Rhinolophus ferrumequinum: one gene and its partner. The protein of the gene in region 1 purifies or fractionates together with the protein of each later gene. This does not show direct contact. Links are inferred from orthologs where the notes say so. Each region holds a gene or a part of one and is shown on either strand. Other genes may lie near its edges.

What was found.
Region 2: the proteins of PALS1 (region 1) and PATJ purify together in Homo sapiens (co-immunoprecipitation; 5 studies listed by BioGRID and IntAct, counting the BioPlex papers as one, with this or other methods). This does not show direct contact. The link is inferred for Rhinolophus ferrumequinum from reciprocal best matches to the Homo sapiens genes PALS1 and PATJ.

Annotation. Positions count from the first base shown.
Region 1 is NC_046289.1:29,397,348-29,414,094, reverse strand, and holds the start of PALS1 (protein PALS1), read left to right. Parts: upstream 1-7,634; 5' UTR 7,635-7,779; intron 7,780-8,038; exon of another isoform or gene 8,039-8,171; intron 8,172-8,201; exon of another isoform or gene 8,202-8,322; intron 8,323-16,747. UniProt on the Homo sapiens protein: Plays a role in tight junction biogenesis and in the establishment of cell polarity in epithelial cells.
Region 2 is NC_046292.1:45,103,072-45,119,890, reverse strand, and holds the start of PATJ (inaD-like protein), read right to left. Parts: upstream 6,248-16,819; 5' UTR 6,119-6,247; intron 1-6,118. Other genes in the region: TM2D1 (TM2 domain-containing protein 1), read left to right, coding at 15,784-15,941.

The DNA of each region.
Region 1 (16,747 bases):
CAACCCATCTTTCTTTTCTGAATGCCAATTAAATTTCTTGGAATCCTAAACAGCCAGATTTTTTTCTATGTTTATGGAACCCAGGCTAACAAGAGAACAGGTGGGAGGACCCTAAAGGGAACCTGTTTGTGAAATTTAACAATGGGCTCCACTGGTAAATAAAAGACATTTTTGCTGAGGTGGCTAAGAAACATGATTTGAATTTGAGACCCAAAATAAGTTCTCTCTCCTTCCGTGCTTTTTTTATCTCTTGCTTTTGGCTTTTTCCTTTCTTCCTCACTTGCCTTCTCTCTTGCCTTCTCTCTTTCACTTTCCCTGTTTTTCCTTTTGCCCTCTGGCTCTCTTCCCTTGAATCCTCTTCTAATTTCCTCAATCTTGTGCCTTATCTGTCTCCCCTTTTCTCAGGGGAATGGATGTGAGGAAAGGAAAGGAAAACAGAAAAAGCAAAGGCCAATGGAAAAAAACATTGTAAGACAACCTAAAGGTAATTTTTTAAAATTATAAATCTCTATAGATATAAAGGGCAGACATGACACTTCCACAAAAAGTTGTCAATATTGAGTCTTTTAACACTGAATCTTACTACTTCTATTGTAGTAACAATAGAGATGAACTGGAATGTGGAGGGTTTGTTGTGGTTTCCACTCTAGAATCCATCATGGGTCAAAATGTAACAGCAGAGGGAGAAAAGGAAGCTTCAGATAAGGCACTGGAAGAGAATGACTTGCTGCTGCTTTTACAAGTGATTCCTTTCATTCTCATTCCTACTCTTCCCTTTTGCTCTCTCATCTTACTCTTTCCCAACCTGCTTTCTTAGATTAGCCAACACAGCCAAGGCTTCTTTCTTTCATACCAAAATCACATAAATACTCATAGAGTACCTACAGGGCTGCCATGTACCGTTGTGCAGACTGTACACTGCACAGTGCTGGGGACCCCATTCGCATTGCAGTCTAACCTGCATAGCTGTACATGGTGGCCCTGGCCCACTCTATTGTAAATTTCTTTGAGACACTAGCTTGGGCGTGAGTTACTTAGAATTCAGCTTCCTCTCCTAACATAACTAATGCTGTGTGTGTGTGTGTGTGTGTGTGTGTGTGTGTGCACGCGCGCACACGCGTTCCTTGGGGCTGAGTTTGCAGAATTGAAGGGAAGGTTGAAGAACCAGGAGTAGCCTTGGCAGGAATGACATGCTCCTCTCCTCAGGGCTCTGATGATGGAATTGATGTGCAAAGAAGGGCAAAAGTGATGATATATATACCATATTTAAATCTTGACTTCCGAAACTTTAAAAAGTGGCTCCCAAATATTCAAACTGTGAATTGCTTATATATGGGAAAAGGTAGGTGAGTTTTTTTTTTTAAATGGTGAATAAAAGTTTGTTACTAACAAAAAGCATATTATTACAACTGAAGTCATGTGAAAGTAACTTGGCCTCTTATTTCAATGAGTATACATGATGTGTATGTAAATCTCACACAAATATGACTTATTTTAGGACTCAGTTTAGCATAGATCAAGAAGTTGAAAATAATTCGATGACATGCCTCTAAGTCTTAAAAAATAAAAGCCCATAATCTTAATCTTGACATCTTGATTTATTAGATTCTTACATGGGTAGAAGTAGCTTAAAACAAAAGTTTTAAGAAATTAAGAGGTTCCTTTAATATTGCTTCAAGCTCTAGGTTTAAAAAATGAGAACTTAATCTGTCCAAAGGATCTTTATTGTTACATTAAGAAGAAAAGCAGTATTATAAATGTAATTTTACTTATTTTACTCATTTTTAGTTTTTTAAAGTTTTTAACTTAACAGAAATAATCTTATTCTGTACTTCAGACTTTTGAATTAATTGAACGGACTTCTCCATCTTTTTTTTCCAGATAAACACAAACTACTAACCTAAAAAACAAGCACAGCTCAAGAAATAATAACCAACACAAGGGAATAACAAAGCAGCATCTTCCATGTGGCAGAAATAAAGGCTACTACTGATCATTAAGCATTTAAATCCATGTCAGTCTAATTTCTTAAATCTTAATTACTGTGGATGTCGATTATGAAAGAAGGTAGAGAACAATACAAAACAATAAGGTTTTCGATTCATAAACTCAGTTGTAGGGCTTCTTTATTTTGCTGTTGTTGAAGAAAGTTGTTATCCTCTTTGGTTTTACTTTTCTTTTCGGACATTAGCCCAACTCTATGTTGATTCTAACACTGGGCATTGTGGGGTCCTGGATGGTCCTTGATGGACCTCGTTCTTTCTGTCTTTTATTTCTAGCTGAGCACCTGGACTGAGAGACAGTATTTATGGAATCAGTGAACGCCATTTTCAAACAGGTTTTTTTTAAAAAAATCCCCATACTTTAAAAAATAATAAAGAAACTACAGATAGTCCCCATCCAAAGAATAGTTTGAATTTTAAAAGCCACCACTTACTCATTCTCATAAAGCTGCCAGCCATTCTACAATGTGCTTTGCATGCATTCTCAATCTTCACAATAATAATCTGACAGGTATTATTACTTTCCTGTTTTACAGACAGATAATGAAAGTGAAGCTTAGTGAGGTTACTTGTTCAAAAATCCTATAGCTAGGAAAAAAAATTGTATTTTATACTCACACGGTCTGACAATTAAGTTTGTGAACTTGTTGCCATGATGTTGCTAACCTTTTTTGACACCAGAGGGATTATTCATTATGAATTTGTACCAACTAGACAAACAGTTAACCAAGTTGACTATTTGGAAATGCTGAAAAGGCTGTGTGAAAAAGTTAGACAACCTGAACTTTTCGCCAACAATTCATGGCTCTTGCATTAAGACAATGCACCAGCTCCTATGGCACTCTCTGTGAGGGAGTTTTTAGCCAGTAAACAACTGTGTTGCAACCCTCCCTACTCACCTCATCTGGCCCCCAACAACTTCTTTCTTTACCCCAAGATAAAGGAAATATGGAAAGGAAGACATTTTGATGGCATTCAGGACATCAAAGGTAATACGTTGACAGCTCTGATGGCCATTCCAGAAAAAAAGTTCCAAAATTGCTTTGAAGAGTGGACTAGGCATCGATGCATAGCTTCCCAAGGGGAGTACTTTGAAGGTGACCATAGTGATAGTCAGCAATGAGGTATGTAGCATATGTAGCACTTCTTCTAGGATGAGTTCACGAACTTAATTTTGTGTGTGTGTGTGTGTGTGTGTGTGTGTGTCTGTGTGTATGATCACTGGTTGTAGTACTGAAAAGAGAAAATATGGGTGGAAGAGAGCCTATTGCAGTAATCCAGGCAAAAGATGCTATCTTGGAGTATGGTGGTAGCAGTAGGGTTGGTGAGAAGTCGTTAGATTCTGGATATGTTTTGAAGGTAGAAATAAAAGGATTTCTTTACAGACTGGATGTACAGTGTGGAAGAAAACCTGAGCAACTGGAATAGTGGCATTACCATATACTAAAATGAATAAAACTAGAGAAACAAAAAGTTCTGACATGTTAAAGTTTTAATGCTCATTAGGAATTCAAATGGAGATGTTGAGCCAACAGTTGAATATATGATTCTGGAGTTATGGCAGAAGTTCAGGCTAGAGATAAATTTAGAGTTGACGGTGTGTAGATGAAATTCAAAGCCACTGAGCCCAGATGCAATCCTGTAGGGAATGAGTAATAAAGAACATGATGAAAAGAATAAGGACAAATAATGTATATAATGCCTGGCACGTTAGCACTTTACATATATAGATATATTTAGTCTTCACAATCACTGTAAGAGGTAGCTATTTCTATTATCTGCAATTTATAGATGAGGAAATTGAATCTTGGAGAAATTCAAAGATTTTCTTCTGATCAAACAACTATCAAGTGGTAGAGTTGGGATTCAAATCCAGGCAGAGAGAAGTAAAATGTTGAATGTTAGAGCCCTGGGACAATCCAACTTTTAGCATTCAGGGAAGGAGCCTGAGAAGGAGGTTCCAGAGGATAGAAAGAAAAGCTACGGTGGTGTTTTAGGCACCCAGAAGGCAAAATGGAGAAAATGCTCAATGGCACCAAATGCTTGCTGGCAGGTCAAGGAAGACGAGGACTGAACATTGACCTTTTGCATTTAGCAAAGTGGCTCTAATAGATGACATTGATAAAGGCCTGCTTTGAAGCAGTGGTGGAGTTAAATCTTAATCAGAGTTAGTCCAAGACAACATAGAAATGACATCAGAGTTCAACTCTTTGGAGTTCAGCACAGATACCACTCCCGACCAAGTCACAGATATTCACATATGGATATGAATTAAAGCAGCAGCTGAGATTTGTTACACAAACAAAATAAAGATTTGATTGGGAGCTTAGTGAGGAAAAGACATGGGTAATTTTATAGCCCTTTTTAAGAGAACAAACTTAACTTCATTTCTCTTGGCATTCAGTCTAGGCCTTTTCTTCATTAGAAAATTTTCCAAGCTCCAAGTTTGCCTACCTTCTCTCTCCAAAATAAAAATTATCCTGGACCATATTTTATTTGTCTACACATCCCCAGCCTAGCAGAGGACCACCTAAGATGGGTCCAAATAAAAGTGTGATAAATGACTAACATCCTAAATATTGAATATGATATTCTGAAGTTATTTTGACTACTTGCTGTTCCCATAATAAGCCCATGCTTTTCTCTGTGTACACCCCTCAGTCATTCAAACTGATAAAAAGTTTTATGTCTATCTTTTAAAGCCATGCATAATATCTTGGTTTTCCTTTTATTGTGGGTATTTTCATAATAATTTATTCTCTGTCCCTTCCCTCTCCTTCCTCATTAGATAGTAAAGCTTCTCCTAGTATAAGACTTTACCTTTCTTTGAGTCCACAGGGCACCTTATTTTCATTTACTATATTATATTTTAGTTATATGGACTTGTCTCATCTTGTCCTTTCCCCACCTTACTTAATTCCTCCAGGATAGGGATTGCCACATGTTTCAGTTCCCTGCAGCATGTACTAAGCACATAGGAAGTACTCAGTATATTATTTTTTGAATTAATGCGTGACTATATATTAACGTTAATTGAGTTGAATGATACTGGCCTGTATGGATGGTTACTGATGCTAACCACAGACGGTGGGACCTCCCATTGCACCTGGCAACAACTGCATAATGTTCTTAGCTTAGGGACAAAATCATTTCAGCTAGCGTTATGAAAGGTTAAGAAGTGCTACAAAACATCATCATCATAATAATAACTAAGCCCAATTAAATTAGAAAAGTTCATGGTTTGTTGATTTGCTTTTTGTCTTTTTGGTTTTTAAAAAAATTTAAATACTTAATAATTAATGTACCTACTAACTTGTTTCATAACTTCTCTTATACCTGAATCAGTCAGTATTCTTCTTTTAATTTACATTATTTCTGATCATCTGGTTCATATAACTATCAGCGATTAGGCTACCAATTCAGTTATGAAATCTTTGGCTTTCACTAGTACATAGAGATGATAAAACCAAAGGGATATAATAGACTTAGTTAAGGATTTCACATATAATAGTAAATGGTATACTCTTGAAAACTGAGATTTCAGACCTGTTGCAAATGGATGAAACACAATATTAATATATTTCCCCCAAGCCTTTAATGAAATAACACAAGATTGTATTACATACCGGTAAACATGTAATAGAGGCTACTGGCAGATGATGGGTTAAGCATATGCCAAGATGAGGAAGGAGGAAGCATATTTACTATGGTTACTCTCCACCCTACACTTGATTTTACAGTGTGGCTTTCACTACTCGCCCAAAATACTTAGTTACAAATTTACCAGGGTGACTCAGTTGGTGAACTGCTTTGTGATAAGAATGAACAACTCTTCTGACGGGGGGTTTTAAACTACAGATGACCTATTTCATTCTATTTTGGGATGCATATCATATTTTTTAAACTCCCTATGCTATCATGTTAGATTTCACATGAAGAGGCTACCAGAATCTTAAAACTAGAAAAAAAATTAAAAACGTAGTTAACCTGTTACGGATGAGAAAATTTAGGCCCCAGAGACCTGGGTCACACATCTAAATCACAGAACTAGTTAGCATCAAAGCTAAAACTCAAATCTAATCACTTTACATCCAGTTTCTATATCTTCCACTCTTCCAGCTACCTTCATTTTTTGCATACAAGGCCAGTAATTTGAGTGATTTGGGGATTCTGAGAATGAGAATAAGCTTCATCAGAGAATAAACTTTTTATTTGCTAGAGGGTCTGCCCTCTTTTAAAGTGAAAATACCTTTAGGAAATAAAAATAATAACTAGCATTTGTATAGCACTTTACAAAATAATTTCCACATGTTTTGAAATCAGTAGCTGCTATCTCAGATCTCAAATGATCACAGATAGTGATCTTTTTTATTAGGGTGCAGTCCAAGCAGCTGGAGGAGCAAGGCTCGGTAGCTAGAGGGTTCATTTAGGTAGGGGTGTTACGCAAAATTGCTTGGGATTAGGCAATTGGAATGTATGGGTAATGAGAGACTCTTTTTAAAGAAGCCATTTCTTTGAACAGCTAGATCAGTGGTTCTTAACTGGAGGTGACTTTGCCCCCTACGGGACTCTTGGCAAGGTGTAGTGACATTTTTGATGGTCATAAATGGGAGTAGTGGTGTTATTGGCATCTAGAAGGTACCGCAGAGAGATCAGGGATGCTGTTAAACATCCTGTAATGCACAGGACAGCCCCCACAACAATGTGGTTCAAACGTCAATAACCCTGAGGTCGAGAAATCCTGAGCTAGAGAAAGAAAAATTCATTGAGCAGCTAGAGGACGCTTCTTGAATTATTATTTTATGCATTTTAGAACTTAGAAAAGGTCACACATTAACCTTTTGCCCCCATTTTGGATATAGCCAACAGTTTCTAGGGAATTCTGGAGATTGTTTATGTGGATTTCCTTGCACTGGATGGGGGTTGGCCCAGGTAACTCTAAGTCCATTCACTCGAGTTTTGTGAAAGAGCTGTGGCCCTTGGCATCCACTTTCTGTTTTCAGAACTCAGTCCTAGCTGGCTAGCTTTTTGGAGTCTTCTGCGATAGCAGAGAATTATTCTGTGGGACACGACACATGTTCAGGTGTTTAAATATGTCATGGTTCTTTCTAAAACAAGTGTTAGATTGTGTGCCGTGCTTCACAGGACTAGAGGAATCGCCTCATGGGGAACTGGAGTTTCTTCAGGAGTGGACAGTCATCCACCGAGGTAAGAGTCAAGGACTGGAGAACGTTAGCCGGCTCCCGACTACCTCTCAGGGAAACCTCGGACTCCACACAACCTAGCCAGCAGGCTCGAACACAAAGCAATTCTCTAGTGCCTCAGAGCCCGAAGCAGGTCGCCTTTTATACTTCGAGGCGCGCAAGTGCGCGCGACCGGCCGCTCGGGAGCTGTAGAGCCGACCAATGAGTGAGCCCTCTCTCCCAGCCGGCTCCGGATTGGGAGAACCGCGCCAGCCTCTCTGCCTAGCAGCGGGCGGGGCGCGCGCAGGAGAGACTGGGATAGGCGCGCCGCTGCGCCAGAGTCCCGGGGGCGCGTGCGCGGTCTCGCGGCGGCCGCGGGGGCCGGTCTCGCGCGGTCTCGAGGTGGAGTCGCTGGCGGCGGCGACGGCGGCGACTGGCGGTGGGGCAGGGGCGGGGACTAAGGATTGTGAGGTGGGGAATCGGGAGTTTCTGGATTCTTTATCCGGTATTTTAAGTGCCGCCGGGGAGCTGTCGTTTCTGCAGTGTTTAGGAACGGCCGCGGCGGGAGGAGAGGTGGCCGCTGTGGTACAGAGGTAAGAGGCGGACCAGCGGCGGCTTGGTGTGGAGGTCTTAATCAACAGGTCTCCCGGAGCGCGGCGGGGGAGGGGCGGCCGGGCTTGCCCCCTCCCCCACACGCTGCGCGCAGGGCCCGGCAAGACCCGAGGCTGCTCTGCGGACTGCCCCAGGCAGCGGGAGCGGCCGCCGGCCGCGGGGGGTGTGAGCTTAACCTTTGTCCCCTGGAGGAACGCTGCCTGGCGGTGCCCACTCCCTCTGTCTTGGCGAGGGACCCACCTTGGCGGGGCTCCTGCCCGTCCGGGCCGAGTTGTAGGGGGCGCGGCAGGGTCGCGCCTGTCCTCGGTACCCTGGTCCCCGAGTTCGTTACTCCCAGGACTCCCTCCAGGCCAGGTCGGGAAAATCGGCGGGGCGAACACTTTCCTTTAGAAGACGGAATGTAGTCAGCGTTCCTCTGCCTGACTCAGCTCCTGGTATTCAGCTGGCTGGTTGCGTTCTTTAAACAAATAAACAAACAGTTCTTACTTCCTTGTCACCACTTTTAATAAGAGAAGCCTCATCTCGTAAGTAGTTTCTGATAATTTACTCTAAATTTTCAAGGTGGACTTTGAAGCCAGTAAATTGTTGTAAGCTGCATTTAATGAAAGGCGCTTTGAACAATCTTTGGTGCAAATTATGTAACTTCCTAATAATAATAACTCACCTTATGTTTAGTTGATTGACATACAGTAATGTGTAAGGAATTTAGGTTTCGGTCGAAAGGTTTTTGTTGGCAGTTGGCGCTAAACTTAAAATCTGATAGCTGGGAGCTTTTTAGAAGTGGTATATAGTGTGTGTTTTGTCTCCGTGCTTGTTTAGAATTGTAAGAATTTAGATTTGGAAAGCTTCTAGAACAAGAATTTTGAACTTTTACATTTCCAGACAATGTGAAAGGCATTAATATTTCTAACTTTTAAAGTAATAATCATGTTTTAATGATCGTATTATGCTTTTGGATTATACCAGAAGTTAATAATCTATTAAATTCTGCAGTAGGAACAAATGACATGTTGGTTATTGGTCTCTTTGAAATATAAGTATTGGTGGTAATGAAGTTGTTAAATAAGCTGTTTTTGGGTTATGAACTAATATTTTTTACTAGATCCCTGTGGACATGGCTTATTACACGTTTTTAAAGGATCTTTATTGTAGCAGGCTGAAGCTATTAAATTGTAATGTAAGGTCTTTATAGCTGAAATAGGCAAAAATACGAAAAGCAATTCATCATTTTATCTTTGTTTTAAAAAAGCAAGTGAGTGTTATGTACTTGAATAACTTTTGGCTAGACAGAGCTGGACTTAACAAGGGCCTCTATAATAGTAACTTGTTTTAGAAAGTTAAAATGGGACAGGAAATGTTTTACCTGAGGGTGACCCAAGTCAATAGAGTGGAATTAACTGTTTCTGTGTTTTCTGAATTACGATCTTGATTAAGAAGCTCATCAAAGATATACCAAAAAATTTGGTTCATTTTATTTATCAATATACTAAGATGTCCTATTTCTCTGATAGTTTCTGATTTCAGGGTTTCTGGGGAAAAATTTCTTGACATAGATGCTTTAGAATGTAATTTTTAATTATATACTTACTGAATCATAGAATTGTTGAGTTAGAAATAATCTTAGTGGTTGTATAGCCTAACCTCTTCGTTTTCCAGGAAAAGAGTTAAGCAGTCTGTAGTATGACTGCTAGTTAGTTGGCAGGGTTGGAACTAAAACGCTTGTCTCCAGATTCCAAGGATGGTGCTCTTTTTCACTCTACACTGTTGTTAAATAAACCAGTAAGTTACCCCTCTCAAAATCATCTATATGTAGCCAACGGGGTTGATTTTTTCCTTTACTCATTTTTTTTCTTTCTTGTTTGAATAACCACTAGCCACAATTAATTCATTCCCCTGCTGGAGGGTTTCTTTCAGTTTTTTCAATATTTCAAACAATATTCAGTGACTATCCTATGCATGTCTCCTTGAGCATATGTGTGAAGGTTTCCCTAGAATGTAAACTTACCTGTAAGTGGAATTGCTGGCCTATGGGTTGATGTGCATTTTCAATTTTACTAGCTGCAGCCAAATTATCCTCTAAAGTTGTAACAATTTACATTCCTGCCAACAGTAGCTGAGTCATCCTTGCCACACTTGGAATTGTCAGATTGGCATTATCAGATTTTAAAATCTCTGCCAATCTGATGAGTGAGAAATGATGTATTTGTGTTCTTTTCTCAAAAAGACTTTATTTTTCATTTACGTGAAATGAAATTAACTCTTTTCGTTATACAGTTGTTTTGACAAATGCATAAAGCTGCGCAGCTACCAAAATCAAGATACAGAACAGTTCCAGCACCACAATTCCCTTGAGCTGCTCTTTGTAGTCAATCTTCCCTCCATCCTTAATCCCTGGCAACTAATCTGTTGTCTTTCTCTGCAGGTTGTTTTTCTGGAATATCATATAATGAAATCACACAGTATTTAGCGTTTTGAGTCTGATTTCTTTCATTTAGCATAATACATTTGAGTGTTCATCCATATTGTTGAGTGTATCAGCAGTTCCTTCTGTTTTATTGCTGAATATAGTATTCCATTGTATGGATGTACCACAGTTTGTTTATTCATCCACCAATTGAAGGACATTTGAGTTATTTTCAGTTTTTTTTTATTACTATGAAAAAAGCTGCTATAAATCTTTGTGAACTTTTTTTGTGTGAACATAAGTCTTCTTTCTCTTGGGTAAGCACTTTGAAGTGGAATTGCTGGGTCATATGGTAAGTGTATGTTTAACTTTATTAAAACTCTGTGGTAGGCAGAATAATGGCCCAAAGAGATGTCCTAATCCCTGGAACCTGTGAATAAATTAGATTACACGGCAAAGGTGAATTAAAGTTGCAGCCATCTGCAAAATAAGCTCTTGAAATCAGATAATGTGAGTTCTCCAACTTTATTCTTTTTCAAAATTGTTTTAGCTATTATATTCCATATTAAGGTTGCTGATCAACCGACTTTAAAACACGGAGATTATCCTGGATTATCCAGGTGGATGCAGTGTATCACAAAGGTCCTTAAAAGGGAAAGAGAGAAGCAGTAGAGTGAGATAAAAAGATGTAACAACAGAAGCAGGGCCAGAGAGATGCAGTTTTTGGTTTTGAGGATGGGGGAGGAGGGGCCGGGGGGGACACATAAGCTAAGGAATGTGGTGGTTTGTAGAAGCTGGAAAAGCTAGGAAATGGATTAACTTTTAGAGCCCCCAGAAAAGAATGGATCCCTGCCAACACCTTGATTTTAGCCCAGGAGTCCTGAGTCAGAATTTTAACTAACAGAAATGTAAAGTAATAAATTTGTGTTGTTTTAAGCCACTGAGTTTGTGGTAATTTGTTACAGCAGCATAGGAAACTACTGGGGGGGGGGGTGCCAAAAAAAAAATGTATACAAGTGGACACTTTGGTCAACATTGTTCAAGCAGTAGTTCGCCATCATCAGAAGTGTCTGGACACTGATGGTAAACACTTTGAGCACCTCTTGTAACTGCAGAAGTCAAACGTGACTTGTATTCATCTTTTGTTATTGGGATATATTGAGTGTTACAGTTTCAACACAGTTTTCCTTTCTTAAAATGTGTATACATTTTTTTGGCACCCTCTATATGCTGTGAAGCTGTTTTCCAAAGAGGCTGAACCACTTTGTATTTCCATCAGCAGTGTGTGAGTATTACGGTCACTTTACATCGTCATCAACACTTGGTATGGTAAATCTTTTTTAATGTTAGTCATACTAATAGGTATGTGACAGTATCTAATTGTGGTTTTATTTGTATTTTTCTCATGACTAATGATGTTTAGCATCTTTTCATGTGCTTATTTGCCATCTACTACTATATATATCTTCTTTGTTGAAATGTCCAAATCTTTTGCCCATTTTAAAATTGGATTTTCTTATTGTCAAGTTTAGAGATTTCTGTATAGTTCTTTGTCAGACATGTGATTTGCAGAGATTTTTCTCCCAGTTGTGGCTTGCCTTTTCCATTCTCTTAACAGTGTCTTTTGAAGTACAGAAGTTTGAAATTTTGATGAAGTCCAGTATTTTCTTTTATAGAAGTCCAGTATTTTCTTTTATAGATCTTACTTTTGGTATTGTATCTAGGAACTCTGCTAACTCAAAGTCACAAAGATTTTCTCCTGTGTTTTCTTCTACAAGTTTTATGATTTTATATTTTACATTTAGATTTATGTCCCATTATCAGTAAATTTTTGTATGAAGAGAGAAATTTTTGTATGGGTTGAGTTTCATTTGTTTTGTTGTTCCATGACCATTTGTTGAAAAGACTACCTCTTCTCCATTGAATTGCCTTTGTCTCTTTCTAAAACCATTTGACTACATTTGTGTGGGTCTATTTCTTGGCTCTTGTGTTCTACTGATCTATGTGTCTATCCTTGGACAATATCACAGTGTCTTGATTACTAGAGCTTTAAAATAAGTCTTGAAATCAGATTTGTGTGAGTTCTCCAACTTTATTCTTTTTCAAAATTCTTTTACGTATTTTAGTTCTTTTGCCTTTCCACATAAATTTTTGAATCAGCTTGCCGATATCCACAAAAAGTTCTGCTAGGATTTTGATTGGAATTGTGTTTAATATATAGTTCAATTTGGGGATAATTGATATCTTAACAAAATTGAGTTTTCCAATCTGTGAACATGGTGTTCTTTCCATTTATTTAAGTGTTTGATTTCTTTCATAAGTGTTTTTGAATTTTCAACATATAGTTCCTGTAAATATTTTATTAGACCTGTACCTAAGTATTTCAGTTTTTTGGTTCTATTGTAAATTGTCGTTAAAAAAAACTTGTGTTTCTAATTAGTTATTGCCAAGATATAGAAATACAATTGATTTTTATTGATTTTTGTATATTGACTTCATATCCTGAGTTTATTATGAATTTGTGTGTGTGTGTGTGTGTGTGTGTGTGTGTGTGTATTCCTTGGATTTTCTAAGCAGTCATGTATCTGTGAATACAGAAATGTTTATATCATTCTCATCTGTATGGCTTTTATTTTTCTTGACTTATTGCACTGGATAGGACTTCTAGTGAGATGCTGAATAGGAGTGGTGAAAGGGAACATCCTTGCCTTGTCCATAATTTTAAAGGGAAAGATTTCAATCTTTCATCTTTAAGATATGTTAGCTGTAGGTCATTTTGTAGATTCTCTGAATCAGGTTAAGGAAGTTTCCTTCTGTTCTGAGGTTGCTGAGAAGTTTTTTGTTGCTGTTTAATCATAAATGGACATTGAATTTTGTCAAATGTATCTATTTGTCAAATGTATCTATTGAGGTGATCATGTGGATTTTTTTCTTTATTCTGTTAATAGGGTGTTAACTGTGTAATTAGTTAGTGTACTGACTAATTTTCAAATGTTGAACCAGCCTTGTATGTTTCTGAGAATAACTCCAGAGTTGTTTCAAACAAAAATCAAATTGAATTATTTTTCTTTGACTAATATACATTAACATGTATGCTTAAAAATGAAGGATATTGAATGTAAGATTTTGTGAACTAAACTATAAAGTCAGAGAAGTCAAGATATTCACTAACAATTATGTAAATTTTACATATTGGTAGACTTAAGTTTTCTTGAGTTATACTAGAGTTTATAGAGTTATACTAGAGATTGTAGACTATACCACTAGAAAACTCTTGTTTAAAATTAATTACTAAGTGAAGAAAGAAAATGTTATTTTTGTCACTGTAATTACACATTCTTCATTCTGGGTTAATTTAAGCAAGTTGTTTAAATGTATTTGGATCGTAAAGTATATTTTAATTGAAGATAAAATAATATAATTGGATTTTTTGCTTGGAATAACAATAGTAGAGTTTTAAAAACACAACAACAAAAACAGACTTCCTCACACCAGAAAATATGTAGATCCTTGAGTAATCAGATAAATGTTTGGCTTGATCAGAATAGAATCAACTCAGTGAATATATTAGATCAAAATGTGTTAAGTGAAAATATGAAATAAAGTACTTGTAAGAAAAAGCCACGCTCGGTTTTGCTACAATGAAAAGTGTGGGTGCATTGTAAAAAGATGCATCTTCATTAAATATATTTAATATTGTGAATTGTGAGGTTTTTCTTCCATCAATTCGGACTACAGAAGACAGTTTAAGAGGAATAAGGGTTTAGTAACCTTATCATCAAGCTCTTTAATTATATCATTTTTATATATTTGGGCTTATCATATGATTTAACCATTATAAAAATTCAAGCAATTTGGCCTTTTGTCTCATATAATTTTAAAGTTCCTTCTTGGGCTAGCAGTTGTCTGAAAGACCCTAAACATTGAAGTTTTGAGACCACTAAGGTTCTTGACGTTTTTGAGCCTTTAAGGCAGGGGTTGACAACTTTCAGTAAAGGGAGACATACTAAATATTTTAAGCTTTGTAGGCTATATCATTTTTGTTGCAAGTTTTCAACTTTGCTCTTACAGTGCAAAGTGCAAATGAATGTGACTATGTTCTAATAAAACTTTATTTATAAAAACAGGGTGTGCTTGATTTGGCTTGTGGGTTTAGTTTGCCTACTTTTGTTTTAGGCAAAAAGTCAGCAGGAGAAATGAAAATAATTGTAGTAATGTCGTCAGCTGAGTTGGGAAGTTCTTCATGAGGTAATTCCCTGCCACACCTTTACTTTCCTTATCTATAATATGTAGCCACCTCGGAAGATGATTGAAAAGGTTAAAATAAGGTTTGGAAGACACTGAGCAAAATATTCTGACACATAGTAAATACTTAATAAGTATTTGCTTCCTCCCCCCCTTTTGTTTTATGGCTGCACAATACTTTGTGACAAATCAACAGATGTGAAATAATTAAGAAGATTCATTCAAGTTTTTGACAGTTTTTAGTATACCTAATTAGTTATTCCGAATTTTAGAAATTATAACTATTTATATTTAAAGCTAAATTGTCCTTTGAACTATGCTTCTTTTGATGAAAGTTATAACTCCTTGGCTTCACAATAGTATCAGAAACTTGACATCAAAAAAACTGCGACTTCGTGTTGAAATATAGTTTCATATTTTGAGGGTTTTACATTGTACCAGAAAATGTTTGATGTCACTTAAAATGTATTAGAATACTTTGATTTGACCTAACAACTAGGGTTTCTATATTTTGCTTGTTGCTTCAGGCGTGCCTTTAAGACAGCATTCATTTAAAATAATTGACTGCCATTTGTGAGTGCACTGAACTAGGCTGTGTGCTACTAGGTTTAGTTGCACATAAAGAGTGCCTATGTTTAGGTCCTGGTTTTTGTGTAATGTTTGGGGTATAAGTGAAGCTTCAGAAAGTTATTTTTCTGCCTTTCTGAATTTTTGTCATAGAGGTGGATTCGAGATATTTAACTCCCCTCCAAAAAGAAAAAGAGAAATCTATACTCCTTCACAGGTCAGAGGCAGGGATAGGTGGCTATTGGAATAATCTTGCCCTGGTAGTTTAGCAGGGCTAGGGTTGGATCTCAAGTACCAGATTCATAATTTTTTCGGTACTTTTTCCAGTACACCATTGCCTGGTTTGTTAGCTCGTTATTACCTGCCTCGGGCTTCTCAGAAATCTACTTTTCTTGTCCCACGCTCTCCATTTTTTTCCCCCTAAAGTTTAAACAGAAGCTGTTGCAAAGTCTTATCAAATTTTACTGATAAAATTTTGTATTATTTTCAAATACAGTTAGAACTTAGAATATAAGTGTATTATACTCAATGTGAAAAGAAAACTTGCTATTTTTAAGCAGATCTTAAAAATTCTACTTTACATTGGTTATATTATTTGTATGATATTTATGTGTAAGGAATTGGTTTTTCTTTGTTCTACAAGTAATTATCATTCACTTTAGCATAGTTTTGTCTGCCCCAGTTTTCCTAACTAGTTCACAGAGAAAACTATATATTGAATTGGGGGGCGATATAGAGAAGTATTGGATGAAGTCACTGCCCTCAGAGGTCTGCCTTCGAAGTAAGAGTGGATGACAGTCCCCTAGAGATTAGGCTGTATTAAGACAGTTTATTAGTTGTTTGAGCAGAATCACAGAATTGCTCAAATAATATGCAAATAAATTATAGGACTATTTATAATGTTATAGAATTGTAACCGTTTATTTAAAAAATAATATGCCACAATTTATTTAATACAGTTGGTGGATCTTTGAGTGGTTTCTGGTTTTGGGTTATTTTAAATAATGTTACCATGATGGTTCCTATACACTTATCATGGTGTGTGTGTACTTGTGTTTCTCTAGGGCTGCAGTCTCCAGTATGGGAGCCACTAGCCACATAGGACTATTTAAATTAAGTAAAATTAACTAAAATTGGAAATTCAGTCCCTATTTGCTGTAGCCGTATTTCAAGTGCTTGATAGCCATGTATTGATGGTGGCTATGTTACTACACAATGTAGGTACAGAATATTTCCATTATTTCAGAAGTTTCTGTTGGACATCACTGCTCTAAAGTATATAATGAGGAATAAGATTACTGGCTGACAGGGTGTGGGCCTGGTCAACTTACTAGATAATGCCAAAGTCTCTTTCTTTTCTTTTTTCTTTATTATTAGTTTCAGGTGTACAAAACAATGTAATAGACAGCCCAAGTCTTTTTCAGTGTGATTCATTTTATACTTCCAGCTGCAAACTGTTATTTCTTCAAATTGCCTCACATCGACAACTACACATTTCACTTTATCAATACTGGACATGCAAATTTAACTGTATATTAATAATCTTCTGTTGGTCTGATGGTCCTTTGAGTCCTTCCCCTGAAACACTGTTGTGCATATAGTATTGGGATTCGTGGAAAGTAGGTCATGAACCCCAGGTCTACATCTGTAACCCATGTAATTTATCTGAGTACTGTACAAGTAACCTGCAGCTGTTTTTCAAAATAATGATTCACTTAAGAGTAATCAGTAGA
Region 2 (16,819 bases), on another chromosome or scaffold:
CAGAAGCTCCCACTCTGTCATTGATCAAGAGAGTTTGTCACCATGGATTCTTCACGTCTGGTTCACTGTAGGATTTGACTGAAGGAATTATAATATTGTGTTGTTGTTGTTTTTTAATACCCATGCCCTTAGCCATCACCAATTAATGGAATAGTTGGAAAAAAATGACGCACAAATAGAAATTTAATTCTATTAAATGTACATTTCTAAGTGGAGGAAACTTATTAGAAAGATTTATTAACCTCCTCAGTTCAAGAATTTAGGAGAGTTGTGGACCTTGAGAAATACAGTTTTCAGACCCCCAACAGCACACAAGAATGTAACTCCCCAAGATATCTTATACATCTATCTCAAACTTAACAAGACATCTCATGCGTCTATCTTGAAATTTGGGGAGAAAAAGATCACTGGCAATCTGTTTGGGAAAGTACAGATACTCAGCCTCTAACTGCAGGTGAATTAACCTACACTTAACTCCTCAATGGGAATTCCCTAGAGCTCAAAAGGACCCGAGAGTTTGAACAATCTAAAAGCTATTAAATGTAAATGAAGTCATGAGTTCAGGAGTTATTCAACAATGGAAGTTCACAAACAACTTTCTATTGCTTCCTTTGGAGTGCAAAGCTCAGGTTGTGTCTAATTATCATGGCTTTGTCCTCAAAGCTCAACATTTGAGGTACTGATTAAATGCAAAACAAACTCTCCCAGCCAAAGAGCAATGATGGCTCTTCATTCCAACTACAAATAAACACCTCTGCTGCCATGCTAGTGCAGATTTAAGGCATGTGCCGCAGCCCTGTGTCCCTACCAAATGACAAGGCCTTCTCTAAACTGCTTAGATGTAAAAAATACTATATTTTTGGCTGCTGCCAAAACACTATACTGTATTCCTGGTATTTTGGAAATAGATATGCAAATTCTAGAATGACCTTGATATTTAGGGGCCATACGCCTAAGCCTCAGATAATGCTTAAATCCATGTAATGCTGGACATTGAGGACATGTTGAAACTGAAGCTGAAAGACACCATGTTAAACTTAGAGTCAGAACTGAAAATTGAGTCAGTTCTTCAGAATAATTCAGTTGGCTAAATACTAATTTTTCTCATTGAACTATTCAAAGTTAATGCATCCAATGCATATTAATATCCTGCCTGTAACTTGGTCACTGTGTATGAACAAAGTTAACCTTTTTATGGTATGGTTTTGTATCCCTGTTGGTGGCAGTTTTCTCCAATGACTGACCAAGAAAACAAATCTGGGCAACTTTTACCTAATGGATCTCTGATCGTGTAGCCCATCTGGCTAACTGTTGAAATCTCTCTACACCTCAGTTTCCTCATTTGAAAAGATCCAGGCATTCATACCCTTCACTAATGATGAGTTTCCACCTCAAATATTCTGTTCAATTCTCCCCACACCATAGACTGTGTGTCCTTAATTTCGCTCCAGAAATATGGTCGTGCCATTTCCGGCGTGCTTGTAATATTCTAAACAATCCTAGCAAATTGTGAAATAGGTCAAACTAGGCTCTGGACACCTTTTCCATCAATGTTCACCCTCCTTCCTCCTGCTGGCCTTTTCCCAAAAACCATTTTATCTGTCATTTAATCAAGTAACTAGTTTTTTTAGTGCCCACTATGTACAATGCAAGGTCATTCTGTATATCATCTCATTTATCTTCTTAACAATGTATTATCATCTCTATTTTGCAAATGCAGAAAACCTACAATTTCAAAAAACAAGGGGGAGAGCACGCTGAAAAAGGTGATAACAGAGAAAGGCAGCATAGATGCCACTGAGGGGAATTAATTTTACCTTGGGGTGTAGAGCAAGTCAACTGTTAATGACTTTTTCAGCAGATAACTACTTTAAAAATGAGAGTCAGATATTTCAAATTTTCACTAGAGAGGGAATGTTTGTCAACCTGACTCTCAACATCTACTTAACTCATCTCCCTCCTACCACACTTTGTCCCTGGAACTTCATTAGAAGCTCCAGAAAATAACTCCAAAGGAAATCCACCTTTTTCAAGGCAGAAGCCCTACCCTGCCCCTATCATCAAAGCTACACCCATAAATTAGAAACTAAAGCTAAATGAAAATTGGTCTGTTCCTGAAAGGCTGCAGACCAGGACCTAAAAGCATCCTACCAGTCAAGCTGTCCAGATCACCAAAGCAAAGGGCAGGACTTTGGTTTTGTTTTTTTAAGAGTAAGACCAATACTAGACAATGTTAATCTCACAGAGACTGTACTAAGTTCTTTTAACCACAAGGCAATTTCACAAATGCAAGTAATAAATAACAGACAGAATTCAAATCTGAAATTCTTAAAACGCATTCTTTGTTTACAATATTATTGTTTGGCAGGTTTTTAAACTATATAAATGGTAATTATACTATATATTTATCCTTCATGAATTTGCTTTCTTAGCTCAACTTTATATTTTTAAGATTGAGTCATGATGATATACACAGCTCCTCTTCACTGATTGTAACTAGTAAATAGTATTCCACTGGAGGAATATTCGTACATAATTTATTCACCCAATCTCCTGTTGTTGAGAATTTAGATTGTTTCCTATTGGTCACTAACACAAAAACAGGATCAGAAATAAATATCTACTTCAAGAATCAACTTTTTCCCAGTTGATCCAATAATCAATTCTTGAACTATGAGAGACTGTATAGCCTATAAGCTCTGAAATCATAGAAACCTGGGATTTACTCCTGGGACCAGCTCTGGGGTTCTTCTGGCTAACTGTTGAAATCTCTCTACACCTCAGTTTCCTCATTTGTAAAATCGAGTTAATAAAAATGACTAAATATTTACAGTTGAAAGGACTAAGATTAATATCTAATACCTAATACCTGAAATCTAATACCTATCTAACATCTAATACCTAATTAATATCTACTATCTAATTAATACCTCATACCTAACGGACTAAGATTAATATCTAATACCATTTATTGAATGCTTTAGCATCCGGTACCCTTTCAATAAATGGTAGCTTCTATTATTAACATCTTTTTACAATCAAAATTATTTAAGATATTTTGGGGGCTTCAAACAAGCTAATAATTAAATTATTTCAGCTGAGATATTGCTGTGTAATCAATAATGGTTATTTATTGAATGGTTGAAGAACAAAAATTTTCACCAATGCAATGAATACAAAGAAAGAAGGTATGGAGAGGCCTGTAACTTTGGAGTTTAAAAAAACCAGTTTATAAATAGGAATGTGAGAGCTTCAGTAAACTAAACCCTCTTAAGGATAAACATACGCGTAGTGAATTCTAACCTGGTGCTCAACAGAAATACAATGTGAACCACATATGTAACTTGAATTGTTCTAGTAGCCACATGAAAGAGGTAAAACAAAAGCAGGTAAAATTAATTTTAATAATGTATTTTACTTAATCCAATCTATACAAATTATCACTTCAATATGTAAAGAATACTTAAAAATTAAGGAGGTATTTTAGACTTTTTTACACTAACTCTTCAATATCTAAGGTGTATTGTACATTTATAGCACATCTCAATCCCAACTCGCCCTATTTCAAGTGCCCAAAAGTCACACGTGCGCGTGGCTAACCATGTTGACAGTAGTTTTCACCTACACCTTCTCAGAAAGATCCCTGTAGAGTGCTTTTAGCGAAGACTTTCATTTATCAGCTAATACTGTCTAGGTGCCTTTTATCAAAGTAACTATTAGCAATAACACTCACAGACTTGAGTTCTTCCCAATAAAAATAGCACAACTCCATAATTTTATCAGAGTTAAACATCAATCACAGTGGAGAAGCAAAAAGTGGGAAGAATGGCTTACAGTTTACAAGACACATTCTTTAACATTATTTCATTTCAACCTCCCCAGAACTCAGTGAGATAGATCATTTACAAATGGGAAAACAGAGGACCAGAGTCAAGTGACTTGCCAAGAGTTAGATGGTAAGTGGACTCAATTCCATGTCTCCAAACTCTACTGGCTGCACAGCTGTACAAACGCAAAAAATAAACGGGCTCTAAGACTGCAGCATAGATCTTATCCTGATGACTAAAGACAGGGTATTGATGCGCTCTAAATTTCTCTCCATTTGCACCAAAACCGAAAATGAGGCTTTAAAAAAGGCATCCAAACCTGCACAAAAACATGTGAGTGTGAAAAACAAAACAACAAAAAACATAGCAATGGTCAAGCAATCTCAAATATTAAGGTGGAATAATCCTGTTTCTCAAAAACTTTAGTACCAAGGTGGGCAAAGTCTTAAGTAAATAAATTAAACTCCATTCTGGCTTTCCCAACCTAATGTCCGAGTGTGTCTGTTAAACTTTAACAAAGCAAGTAAATTCAGATTGCTTGGTTGTTTAGATTAAGGATAATTATTAAATGCTTTCAAGTAAAAACGCAGTTGCAAGGATTCTGAATGCTGAAGCACTATCTCAGACTCACAAGGTTCTAAAAGTGAACTCACTATGGGAAAATATACGGATTTTTCTTTTTAAGAATACTAACTGAAAGACAATATACCATAATTTTATTAGTGGTTATTTTCAATGGTAAATGGTTTTGAGTCTGCTTTATAGTTTTTTTTCCTGAAAATTCCAATTTTTCTACAATCAATGTTCGCTTTATAGTTATAAAAATATTAATAAATATGACTTGAACTTAGGCATCTTTAAACACAGATGAGGGCTTAAAACAATTTCTTCTCGACTTTAAACAAAACTGCTATTCTGATGGCAAACTCATCTTATGTGACCCTTAACAGGATCTCAATTAACAAGGGCAAATCTTTTCAGAACTCAGTTTATAAATTCTACCTATAAAATTGTCTTCCAGCTCCGATATTCATCAACTTTATAATTACTTTAAATTTTTAATAATCCTTATAAAGGCCGTTAGGGGCCTAGAAACACCAAGTTCATTTTAGCTGAAAGTCATGATCTCGCCTAACTTTTTCTGATGCTGCAAAATGAACCAATTTGAGTGTTTTCCCCCACTCCTCTCCAGCTTTCCTTTAAAAACACTTGTGCAAAAGAACTGGCAGCCTATAGGAGCTCAGACAGCCTAGAATGTGGTACTACCACCCGCGGTATAACTGAAGTTTCTTTTTCTTCTAGCTCTCCAGAAGTCTTATCCAAGAAACACTTGTTTGTTGCGCACCTATCGATGGCCTGACTCAAAACGCGGCTGGGAAGCAACCTACAAAGAAACAAGGCCCCGAAGGGCGCACCCTCTCAATCGCGGAGACAAAGCGGTAAACAATTCGAATCCAAAGTGATAAGAGCCATCTGGGAGATATGACAAAGCACCCAGTGAACACTCTCTGGGGATATCAATTCGGCCAGCTAGGTGTGCCAGGAGGGCTGGGGAGCTTTGGAGGGGACCGGGAGGGATCTGAAAATGCTTTCCAGAGCTTGACTTAAAGCAGGCGTCCATCAATTTCTCCAAAGGCTGGAGGCCAGAGCACTTTCCGCCTGGTCCTCCCCATCTATAAAGTGAGGCCAGCAGAGCCTCGGCCTGACGGTCGGCCTGGGAACTCGGCTACGTGACGACAAGGCTCCCAGAAGGGGCCGAGGCCAAGTCGCCCCTCGCTGGGGTCTGGGCAGCCCCGCCTTCTCCCAGTCCCGGAGGCAGGCCTCCACCTCTTTACTCCTTTCACCGTCACCGGTTGAGGAAAGACTCCGCCCAGTTCTGGGGGCGAAGCGCAGGCATCAATCTGGGTGCAAAATTTGATCCCTGCCACTGCCGGATCAGTAGGGGCCGAGATTTGAGGGCCGCCAGGGCCTGCCCAGGCGGGGCAGCTCTGCAGCCGGCGGCCTCCGATGAGCCCTGCCAGAGGAGCGGGGGACACGGTGGGGTCACCCAGGCCGACGCAGGAGGACAGCGCCCCGCACCCCCCGCGGACCCCTCCGAGCGCTCGAGGAGCTCCCCCCGTCTCCAGTTCCACCGCCTCGGGGAGGGCGGGCGGAGGAATGCCGGAGAGCAAGCGTCTGGGAGCAGGGGAGGCAGGCTCCAGACACAGGAGGAGGGGCTGCCCCTCGCCTGCTCCTAGGCGCAGGGACCCCGAGCGCTGCGCGCGCCCACACAGCGGGATCCCCCGCTTTACCTGGTCCGGTGAAGGTGCGGGTGGGAGCCCAGAGCGGGCTGGCTGGCAGGAGGGCGCGGCGTCGGCCCTCCCTCACCTGGGCGGAAGTGAGAGGCCCAGGGTGACTGCGCCTCACCTGGCAGGCCCTCCCCTTGCACCGACCTCCCTGCCCGGGGCGGGGCGCCGCGTTGGCGGGGGCGGAGGAGCCTGGGGCTGCGGGAGGCCGACTCTGAGAAGCGGACACCAGGGTCCTTGGCTTCTCTCCTTTCTGCAGGTTAAATTCCAGTGGGCAAGGGAGGGTTAAAGATCCTGGAATAGGTAGCGTCTGGGGGCTGATCAGACCGAGGAAACACCTAGTGGTGGGGACAGCCGGCACTAATGGAGTGGGAAGGTCGCTAGACTGGTGTTGTAGGAGGCTGAGCAGAGAGCGAGACCCACGATCAAGGAAATTAAAAGAGGATATTGAGGAAAGGATTTGGTCAAATCTGCTTAGTCCCTCGTTATCCCGTTCTGTCATCCCTCCTTGTTTTTTCTAGGTGCACTGACCCAATATAAAACTCTAAGAAGTATAACTGGAGGTTATTTTCCCCCCTCACTTCAATGAGAAAAGGAAAGAAACGAATTCAGCAATATCCACTACCAATATGCCGGCGCTAAGCTTATACATGACCTCAATTACAGTGTGAAGAAACTGATGAAGAAACTGCGTACCTGACAGGTTAGGTGATTTGCCCCAAGTTGGGGACCTAGAGGGGATCTTCTGACTCCAAGCCCCGTTTTTACTTCACTATACATCTGAACATTTTTGTTTTTGATGTCATAACTTGACTTTGAGAAAGATCTGTGTAAAACCTACAATGGCATTATTCCGCTCTCTTTACTATAACTAGGGGATTTTGATGCTAGGCGTTTTACTTTGTCTAATACAGTCCACACTCTAACGATAAAGAGAATCGATCTTCAGGTATGTATTCATTGAATAAATGAAGTATTTGTTAATTGTGATGGACTGTAAAATGTTAAAAATGGGATACCTGTCCTCGCAGAGGCATATATACAAAACAACTGCAACATAAAGTCATCTGGTGTAAGATCATGCACTTGGTACTTAGCAGTGTTATTGTTAGTTTGATGCTCTTAAAAATATCACTTGTGAAGCCTGGTAAAAAGATACACAATTTAGCACGGTCCCTACTTCTTAGGAACTAACAAGCTATTACGAGAAATAAACTTATACGATAAATTAAATTACCAAATAGAATGAAGCCAGAACTTCCAGAAAATAAAGAGATCTATTATGCTTGTTGAAAGTATTTGTTAGGTCTTCAACGGGTCTTAACAGGCGTTGCAATTTGCTTAATATAAAAAGAAGGAAATGCTTCCCAAGTCAGAGAGGCGGCATACAGACGGAAACCAATTATCTCAAAGCATCACTTTGCAAACATGTGGGTCTCTTACATTTGGTGATGGTTATAAACATATTACCCCTTTCTCAAAAAATAATGTGACTTTGGATTGACTGTGAAGTTCCAGTTCCTTTTCTAAGTATCCAAAGCTCTCTTAAACTCTCCCCTTCTTGCTGATTCTTCAACTTAATCTCCCACTTGACCTCTTCACGGTCTTACTGTGACCAAACAAGTCTACTGCATATATGCAATACATGTATTGCATATACTTGGCACATAGAAAGTACTCAGTAAATGAAGCAGCACAGAGATTGGAGCACGCACAACAGATACTGGTGACAGTAAGGAGACAGCCAACAGTAGTGCGTAGTAAATAAAGTGAGTCAGATGGTAGAGAACCTGAAAATACTACAGAAAACTTTAGGTTATAAGACTTTGTCCTTCATCACTAAGAAATTAAAGACCCACTGAAAATATTTGAATAAGATTTTTATTTGTTTGCTTTTTAAAACACTTAATGATTGGTGTTTATTTAAAAAAAAATTTAGAGCAGTTTTGGGAACACAGCAAAATTGGCAGGAAGGTACAGAGATTTCCCATATGCCCTTTCCCCTCCTCCCCCCACATGCACAGCCTCCCCCCGTTATCACCGTCCCCACCAGAGTGGTGCATCTGTTACAATTGTTGAACCTACACTGACAAATCACTATCACCCAAAGTCCACAGTTTACATTACAGTTCATTCTCAGTGTTGTACATTCTATGGGTTTGGACAAATGTATAATGACATATATTCACTGCCCTAAAAATCCTCTGTGCTCAGCCTATTCATAACCCTCACCTCAACTCATGGCAAACACTGATTTTTTTTTTTGTCTCCATAGTTTTGCCTTTTCCAGAATGTCAGATAGTTGGAATTATACAGTCTATGGCCTTTCAATATTGCTCCTTTTACTTAGTAAATGCATTTAAGGTTTCTCCATGTATTCTCATGGCATGATAGCTCATTTCTTTTTAGCATTGAAAAATAGTCCATTGTCTGTAGTACCACAGTTTATTTATCCATCACCTACTGAAGGACATCTTGGTTGCTTCTAAGTTTTGGCAACTATGAGTAAAGCTGCTATAAACATCTGTGTGCAGGTTTTTATGTGGATGCAAGTTTTCAACTCCTTTGGGTAAATACCAAGGAGCTTAAATAGGATTTTGAATATGATATAGAGTTTTTGGTTTTTTGTTTTTTTAATGAAAGATAAATCTGGAACCAGTGTGAAAAGTGGATTGACAAAGTTGGGGAGGGACCCTATAATCAAAAAGAGGAAGGAAGGAGCCACTATAGCAAGGTACACAGAAATAAGGTACATCTGAAATAAGGTGAAAATATAGGATAAAAAAAATGAACACTTAAAAATATCAGTTGCGGAGCAGCTAGTTAGCTTAGTTGGTTAGAGCGCAATGCTCTAACACCAGGGTTGCCGGTTCGATCCCCCCATGGGCCAGTGTGAGCTGTGCCCTCCACAACTAGATTGAAACAACTATTTGACTTGAAGCTGGTGGGTCCTGTACTTAAAAATAAGCAAAAGTTTAATATATATATTTATATATATATATATATCAGTTGCTTACTGATTAGACAAAGGGATTAAAGAAAACAAAGAAAAAACGGAAGTATAAGGATTCTAAGTTTTGAATTTGGTAAAAGGGATATTGATGGTGAAACTTAGAAAAGTCAATTTATTCTGTTCTGTTTTTTGAGAAGCAGGACTCTGATCAAGTCCATTTTAGATCCTACATTTGACATTCAAGATGATATATACTTAGCATAAAGTAGGCCTTATTAATCGATGAGCCCATTTAATTGGAAAGTAGGCAGCTAGACTGGCGCACCAGAGAGGACACAATTAGAAACACTTGAGAAATAACAGCATGTATATACCATGTTTCCCCAAAAATAAGACCTAGCCGGACAATCAGCTCTAATGAATCTTTTGGAGTAAAAATTAATATAAAACTTGGTATTATATTATATTTTATTATATTATATAAGACCGGGTCTTATAGTAAAATAAGACCGGGTCTTATGTTAATTTTTGCTCCAAAAGACGCATTAGAGTTGATTGTCCGGCTAGGTTTTATTTTCGGGAAAACATGGTAGTAGAATTTAAAATGTGCAGCTATAAAAGATCTACCAGAGTCCTGATATAAATTTATCACTGGAGGTAGGGGGGCAGGGATTGCCCATTATAGTCATATTTTTAAAAAGTTGGGGAGAGTAACAATTTTTTATCTCTTAGTGTTTCTGTCATAGCCATGGAAACAGGAGTCAGGTTGGTTTACTCAGAAAGTTTTGCTATGGGCAAAAAAACTATCTGTTAACGTAATTAGGCATATGCTAGAATCTTAGGAATGGAAAGATCCAAGGTGCAGAGCCCTTGAATCCTAGAAGAAGTTTTGTTTCTTCAGGCTTCACTGGTTATCCTCTTTCCTAATATTTCTATATAGCAATTCCCATACTGGGCTGTGCTATTCATGTCTTTTCCTTTCTAAAGAATTTTATAGAATTTTTTATAGTAATAACTCTTTTATTTTTACTATTTTTTTATTGGGGAATATTGGGGAACAGTGTGTTTCTCCAGGGCCCATCAGCCCCAAGTCGTTGTCCTTCAATCTAGTTGTGGAGGGCGCAGCTCTGCTCCAAGTCCAGTCGCCATTTTCAATCTTTAGTTGCAGGGCGACGCAGCTCACCATCCCATGCTGGGATTGAACCGGCAACCTTGTTGAAAGCCTGTGCTCTAACCAACTGAGCCATCCGGCCACCCCTCAATTCTATAGAATTTTTATGTGAAAAAGAAATTTGGCATTGCAAATATACCTAGGATTGAGATTTAAGAACTTTCTTACTAAAGTTAGACAATGGAGTAACCATGGGATCAGAGACTATGCTTGCAAATAAATTAATATATTTTACTGTGCTATGAGAACATACATTAATGGGCAGTAAGAGGAGAAAGTGAATTTTTTAATATACCATCAGTTCAAGAGTCAAAATTTTTGTATTGTTTCTTTACTTTCATGGGAAGAGTCTTGTACTTTTCAGTTTATACATTGTAGGAGAGTATGATGATATTATTAGAACCATAAAAATAGATTTTGTAAAGGGATTAATCAGCAAAGCATAGCATTTTCAAATAGTTAGGTGTTCAAAATCTATATAAAAAATGACACAAATACAAAGATCAACAATATTCCTGCAGTCAGGAGAAAAGTACAGTAAATCCTCAGTGGCATACATAGGTTCTTGGAACTGCAATGAAATGACGTATAATGTGTTAACCTAAAAATGAAAAGGCCCAAGTGAGAGGCAACAAGCATTTATTTGAGTTCCAAAAGAATAGCTATTTGGGAAGCACTGATTCACGCAGAACCTCACTTAGTGTTCCAATTAGGAAATGAAGGCAAGGGGTATTTATAAGAGAAGGGGAACAATTACGTCAAGAGAAGGCAGGAACTTCTATGTATAGGTGCAGATAAGCTAACATAGTGATGTTACTCCAAAGAATGTTTAATTTTCAGTCCCGTCATCATACTATCTGCCTTCTTGTCATCATTACAAACAGTTGTTTGGTATACAATGCTGCTTTAGGCCCCATCCAAAGGTTATTTTGCCCAGTTTTAATATTCCAAAGGTTCGAGAAGCAAGACACTCAAGGTAGTTCCTCTGGGATAGCAGCTCTGACTCCATTTTATAGTGGCTCCATTTATATGATATTTTATATTTCTTCCTTCTAATTGAGATCTTTCCTCAAAAGCATTGCTGATCAATCATTGGAAAGCAACACTGATCATTTGTTAAAAGCATCTGTGGTCCTCCTTTGCCAGGTAAGCTCATTTTCGGCATGTCATGCCATTGTCAGTCCCACATCACCAGGAAGAATCATTCCTGGTATGTCATGTCCCACATAGGAAGGAAAGTGTTTTTTTTTTAGCAGACTTGGGCCACATTTGAGCAACAAGAGTGCAAGAACAAAGGAAATCTTTACCATCATGTTCCTTTAAGGGCAAAAATCTTTTGTAGCTTCTTGAGATTTCGCATATGAAGTCTCATAAGCCTTTGAGCAACCATTATCAGAGTGCTGTCTTTATAACATCGAGCTAGGCAAAACAAACATTTATAACAGCAAAAATTCCTATACTAACAAACAAAATGTTTAGTCCAATTTGAAGAATTGATCTGAACCAGGAGGCAATACATGAGGGCAGTCAGCGGAAGATAGTAGACAACCGGTCAGTGGGCATGGTATTGAATCATTTGGCTTTGTGCCCAATTTTAATCTAGTTCGTCTCTATTTTATCACGTCTCTATTTTATCTAGTTCGTCTCTGTTTTATCCAAGTACAACAAGCGCTATTAATAACAGAGCAAACCTCACCTTGTTTAGCTAGGATATAGTCAAGTGCAATCCTATTGTCTAATGTAACTTGCAAAAGGGAATTAAAGATTTTTCCTGGTTGGCTGTTGCTCTGGGGGTGGCTCCAGCAATTTTCTCTAAGGTTTCTGATAAGTTTTTAATCATGTATGTATTCTCATTGCTATACCTGCACAAGGAAAAAGTATTCTTCCAACTCTGGTACCTTTACTGGGGTTGACATCACTAGGCATTGAACATCCTTGACTATGTGTGCAACCAGTTGCATATCTTGACCTGTGAAGTAGGTTTAAAGATGATGCCCAATGTTTAGTTATTTTTCTAGGCAGAAATAAAGGGGGAAACGGAAACAATAACTAATATAGGTGCTTGGCGTCTCATATTAATTGTGATATAGGAACGAACTAAAGTAAGAAAAAAAGAAAAAAATGAAGGTGTAGCTTATACTAAGAGTTTCTAAATTCTGGAGGGAAAGTAAATGTTTCAATTCTACTTCTAAAGGTATAATTTACTAAATTGCTGTAGGTACAGGTAGCTTAGGGGGAAAAGAAATTCCTTGTATTTGGAAAACAAAGCTAAAGTAACATTTCAAATAAAAAGTCATAAAAATATAATCATCCTAACCAGTTCATTCAGTCCAATGTTATTAATTCCTGTTGATCTTGATCTTTTTATTAGCAGTTTTATGAATCCAGTTTTTTTTAGAATTCTGCAAATCTTCACCCAGTTTAATGGTATGATCTGAAAGTTTAATAGAAACTTGTATTTTAGAGTGTCAGAGTCCTCTCCAGGAATTTCTGATGACGAAAAATCTTTGCAGAAACAAGCTTTTTTTCAGGTACTGTACTAGACAATGGGAACTGAGATAAACAAATCATGGATTTTGTCCTCAGCAGGCTTATAGTCTTATGAGAGGACAGATGTGTGTGTACACACACAAGCAGCCACTGCAGTGATTTAGACAGCACCCATTCCCTTCTTCTTTCCTTCTGGCAGAACTTCGTTTTTATTCAGGTACCCACCCTACTTCTACATAAGCTATGTGATTTAAGGGAAGCTGACTCATACTGGACTAAACCAATCACGGGAATCCTACACACACCCTTGCCTGTTATTGGTTCAGGTATCCTGTCTGCAACTAATTATTATTCTCCATTCCCTTAGTGATGGTAATTGGTCCAAGGTTGGGTATGCGACCTAAACTGGCCTCATCGTACCAAAGGGAAAGATAACTAGGAGGAAGGTTCTCGCTCCTCCTCTCTAAGTGTATTGTCCCAATTACCGTTAGCAACTGGCTTGCTACCATGGGGAAGTTAGCCTGAAGACAAAGCGAAGGCATCTAGGAAGGCAGGTCTGAGAAAATGGTAGAGAACTGAAGTAGAAACTCTCATTGAACCATCTGAAGCCCGCTATACCTCAAAATGACCCTTATGTGAGGTCCATTTATTATTTCCTTTTTGTTTATTCTCATTTGAGTAGGAATTTATGTCCCATGCAGCCCCCAAACTTCCTGTCTCCGATATCATTGCAGCCCAGAGTTATAGTCTCCCTGGTATGCAATGGGAGTCTTCGGAGCAGCACAGAGGATGGACACAATCATGCTGGTGGGAACTTTCCCGAGGAAGGGATGCTTGAGCTAAGTTTTGATGGTTGAATAGGAGTGAACTGGACAGACATGGAAGGGCAGGGGGTTCTAAAGAAAACAAGTGAGAGGTGTGTTAGTACCTTGAAGAGTGTTAGGAGAGTTATACAGCTAGAGTGAAGAGAGCATGGGGGGGATGTTTTGGCAGACGAGACAGAGGATGAACGGTCAGACTATGAATGGTCCTGCACTCCATCAGAGTAAAACAATACCTTTTTTTTTACTCTGCAACAGCATCAGAGTAAAACAATACCTAACTGCCTGCAAATGACAAAAGACTTAACGATATGGTGAGAGTTCACATAAACACACATAAAAACTATGCAAGTGACTTAGTTATCCATTCTAATCTTAGCTTGACCATACAAAAACTTTTTAAAGTTTAAAAATTAAACTAGTAAATTTCAAATTTCCTATCATTTAAATCTTTAAGCATAGATGTTTTGATTTAAAAATAGCTATCTCATTAAGAACTGGACTTCTAGGTTCAGGAGTAGAGCTAGAAGTTGCTTCTTTTTCCTCCAAACCCATGGATCCTAGAGAGAACACAGACTCACAAGGTAGGGATGTGAATGAAGGAAGTTTAACGCTGCCCTCTGTCTTCCTTGACCGGGGTCGGGGAAGAAACGGGGAGGACCTTGGTGGTGTGGTGTGTCACAGCCCATGAGACCCCCTAGGAAACCAGCCCTTTCTTATTGAGTCAGTGAAGTGGGGATAGCTTTTGTCACTGGATCTTTGTGGGTGCCAGAAAAGTAGATGTCACTGAGAGAACCACTGGGCCCCCTGTTTCACAGAGTAAGGGGCTCCAATCCTAACTTATTGAGAGGGCCGGGTATTGGGCTGCTTGGTTGCCCAGGTAGAAATGACCACCTATTCTTTATGAATACATAACTAGAAGCCAATTTACATGCTTATAGTTCAAATAAATATAACTTATTTATATCTATATAAATTCAAAATAATGTGTCATAATCATCCAGCTCGATATTGAAACCTATAAGTAGGTACCAACCACTAAAATTAACAGTCTAAAGAGAAAAGAAGGCTTGTGCCTGGGGACAAAGGGCCAAGAAAGAGGAATTAAAAAAAAAATAGTGCTGTAATGCTGCAAAATTAGTTTAAGAAAAATTGTAAATATCATTACAATACGAAAATATTACTGACATAATTCCATGTCATCCTATTTCAAAATGACGCCTCTCATCATATCATACATTATCCCAGGGTTCTCAAGGTGTGGTCTCAGAACCAGCAATAGTAACATCACTTGGGAACTTGTAAGAAATGAATTCTCCTGCCCCACCCTAGATCTTCAGAATCAGAAACTGAGGGTTGGGCCCATCCTGTGTTTCAACAAGTCCTCCAGGTGATGCTGATACTCCCTAAAGTTGGAGAACCAGTGCATAACACAATCCTTCAAAATTGGTGTTACTGTGGATAAAGAGGTGCCGTTCAAATGCAAGTGTTTTAACATTAGAGAAACAGGATTAAACTTTTACTTAAAAAGTACACATTGGTTCAGTATGAAAGATATCCCACTACAGAACTTTTAGTATAGAAAGTTAGTAAGAAGAGATGGAGGGGAAAAAACCTCCAATTTTTCACTTGGTCATAAACTCTTTGGTCTTCTCTTGCTATAGGCCCTTTCCTTCACCTAAACTTTTCATTAGAAATAAAGTTGTAATGCCTCGCTTTGTGATAGCGTCCACAAGTACTGTTCATAGCAGCTTTCCGCCAAGTCTCTAGAATAACTGGGAGGTCATTATATCATAACAGTAAGAGCACAGATTCTGAAATCGGACAAACATCACTTTTATTCCAACTCAGTAAGTAAGGTCAACATGCTTACTAGCATCTTTGAGCCTAGTTCGTTATGTGCAAACCCAAATGCTACCAGGACTAACGGAGATAATGTTTGTAAAGCGTTTATCAAATCGCCGGGCGCCACTAGCACTTTGCGGACAGAAAAGCCACGGCAGGGTTAGCTCGGGAGAGAGCAGTGAATGGAGGGTAGCTGATTCTCCAACACAGCCATCTCCTTTTTCCGGTCTAGAAGATCAACCAAAGCTCTCCCGGCTGATTCCACCCTTATACAGAACCTGCGTGCGGCAGATGCACTGTCCTTTTAAGAGCCTCCCTCCTCCGCCCTCCTCCCGCCCTTTCCTAGGCGAAGGCGGAACCGGAAGTGGTGGGGGACGTGCCGGTCCCCAGCATGGCGGCCGCCTGGCCCTCCCGGCCGGCTGTTCCCGAGGCCGTGGCTGCCCAACTCCTGGGTGTCCTGTGGTTCATGTCAGTAAGCACGGGACCTTGGGGAGCTGCCGCCGCCGGGGGCGAAGAGATGCTTAAGTGCGAGGACCTCAAAGTAGGACAATATCCTCTGTGAGGAGCACTCCCATAGGGGCGAGGTAGATTTGGGGTCGCGAGTGGGTCGCGGCCCTCAACGCGGGCTAGAGTTGTATTGCAGGGAACGGTGACTTGTGGCCTCTAATGACCGAGGAGCCCTGGGAGATGAAGAGAGATGTGGGGTGGGAAGAATAAAGGCCACCCTGTGTGATTTCCTTGGGACTTTACGATTGTGGGCGCTTCCTCTTCTGATTCACCTGTATTTTTACTGGCGGGTGTTTTTGCTCAACAACACATACGATCCTCAACTATGCAAGGTCCTAATCTAGGCACTAGTAATAAAAAGATTGACAGGCTCTACCCTGGAAGTTTGCCAACTTGGGGTGCGACAAATAAGTTAATGATATAGCCAGTATACATTGCCCATTTATCATTAACTTTACATGTATTACGTTATATCATTCTTAAACTCCGTGAGCTGCCAGACTGTCAGGGAGCAAATTCCTGTAACCGGGAGCAAATTATTTGAACTCTATTTTATCATGAATAAAAATATAGATAACAATGTAACCAAGTTGAATGTCTGTTGTGATAAATTAGTACTACAGGTAAATCACTTAGAATAATGCCTGGCACATACTGGTAGTAGTGTCTATATACAGGGAATGCCAGAAAAATGTATACAAGTGGACACTTTGGTCAACGTTGCTCAAGCAGTTGTTCGCCATAATCAGAAGTGTCTGCACGCTCAGGGTAACCACTTTGAGCCCCTCTTGTAATTGCAGAAGTCAAAACATGACTTGTATTCATCTTTTGTTATCGGTATGTATTGAGTATTACAATTTTAATAGCTTTTTCCTGTTTTAAAATGTGTACATATTTTTTGGCACCCTCTTTTTGTTGGC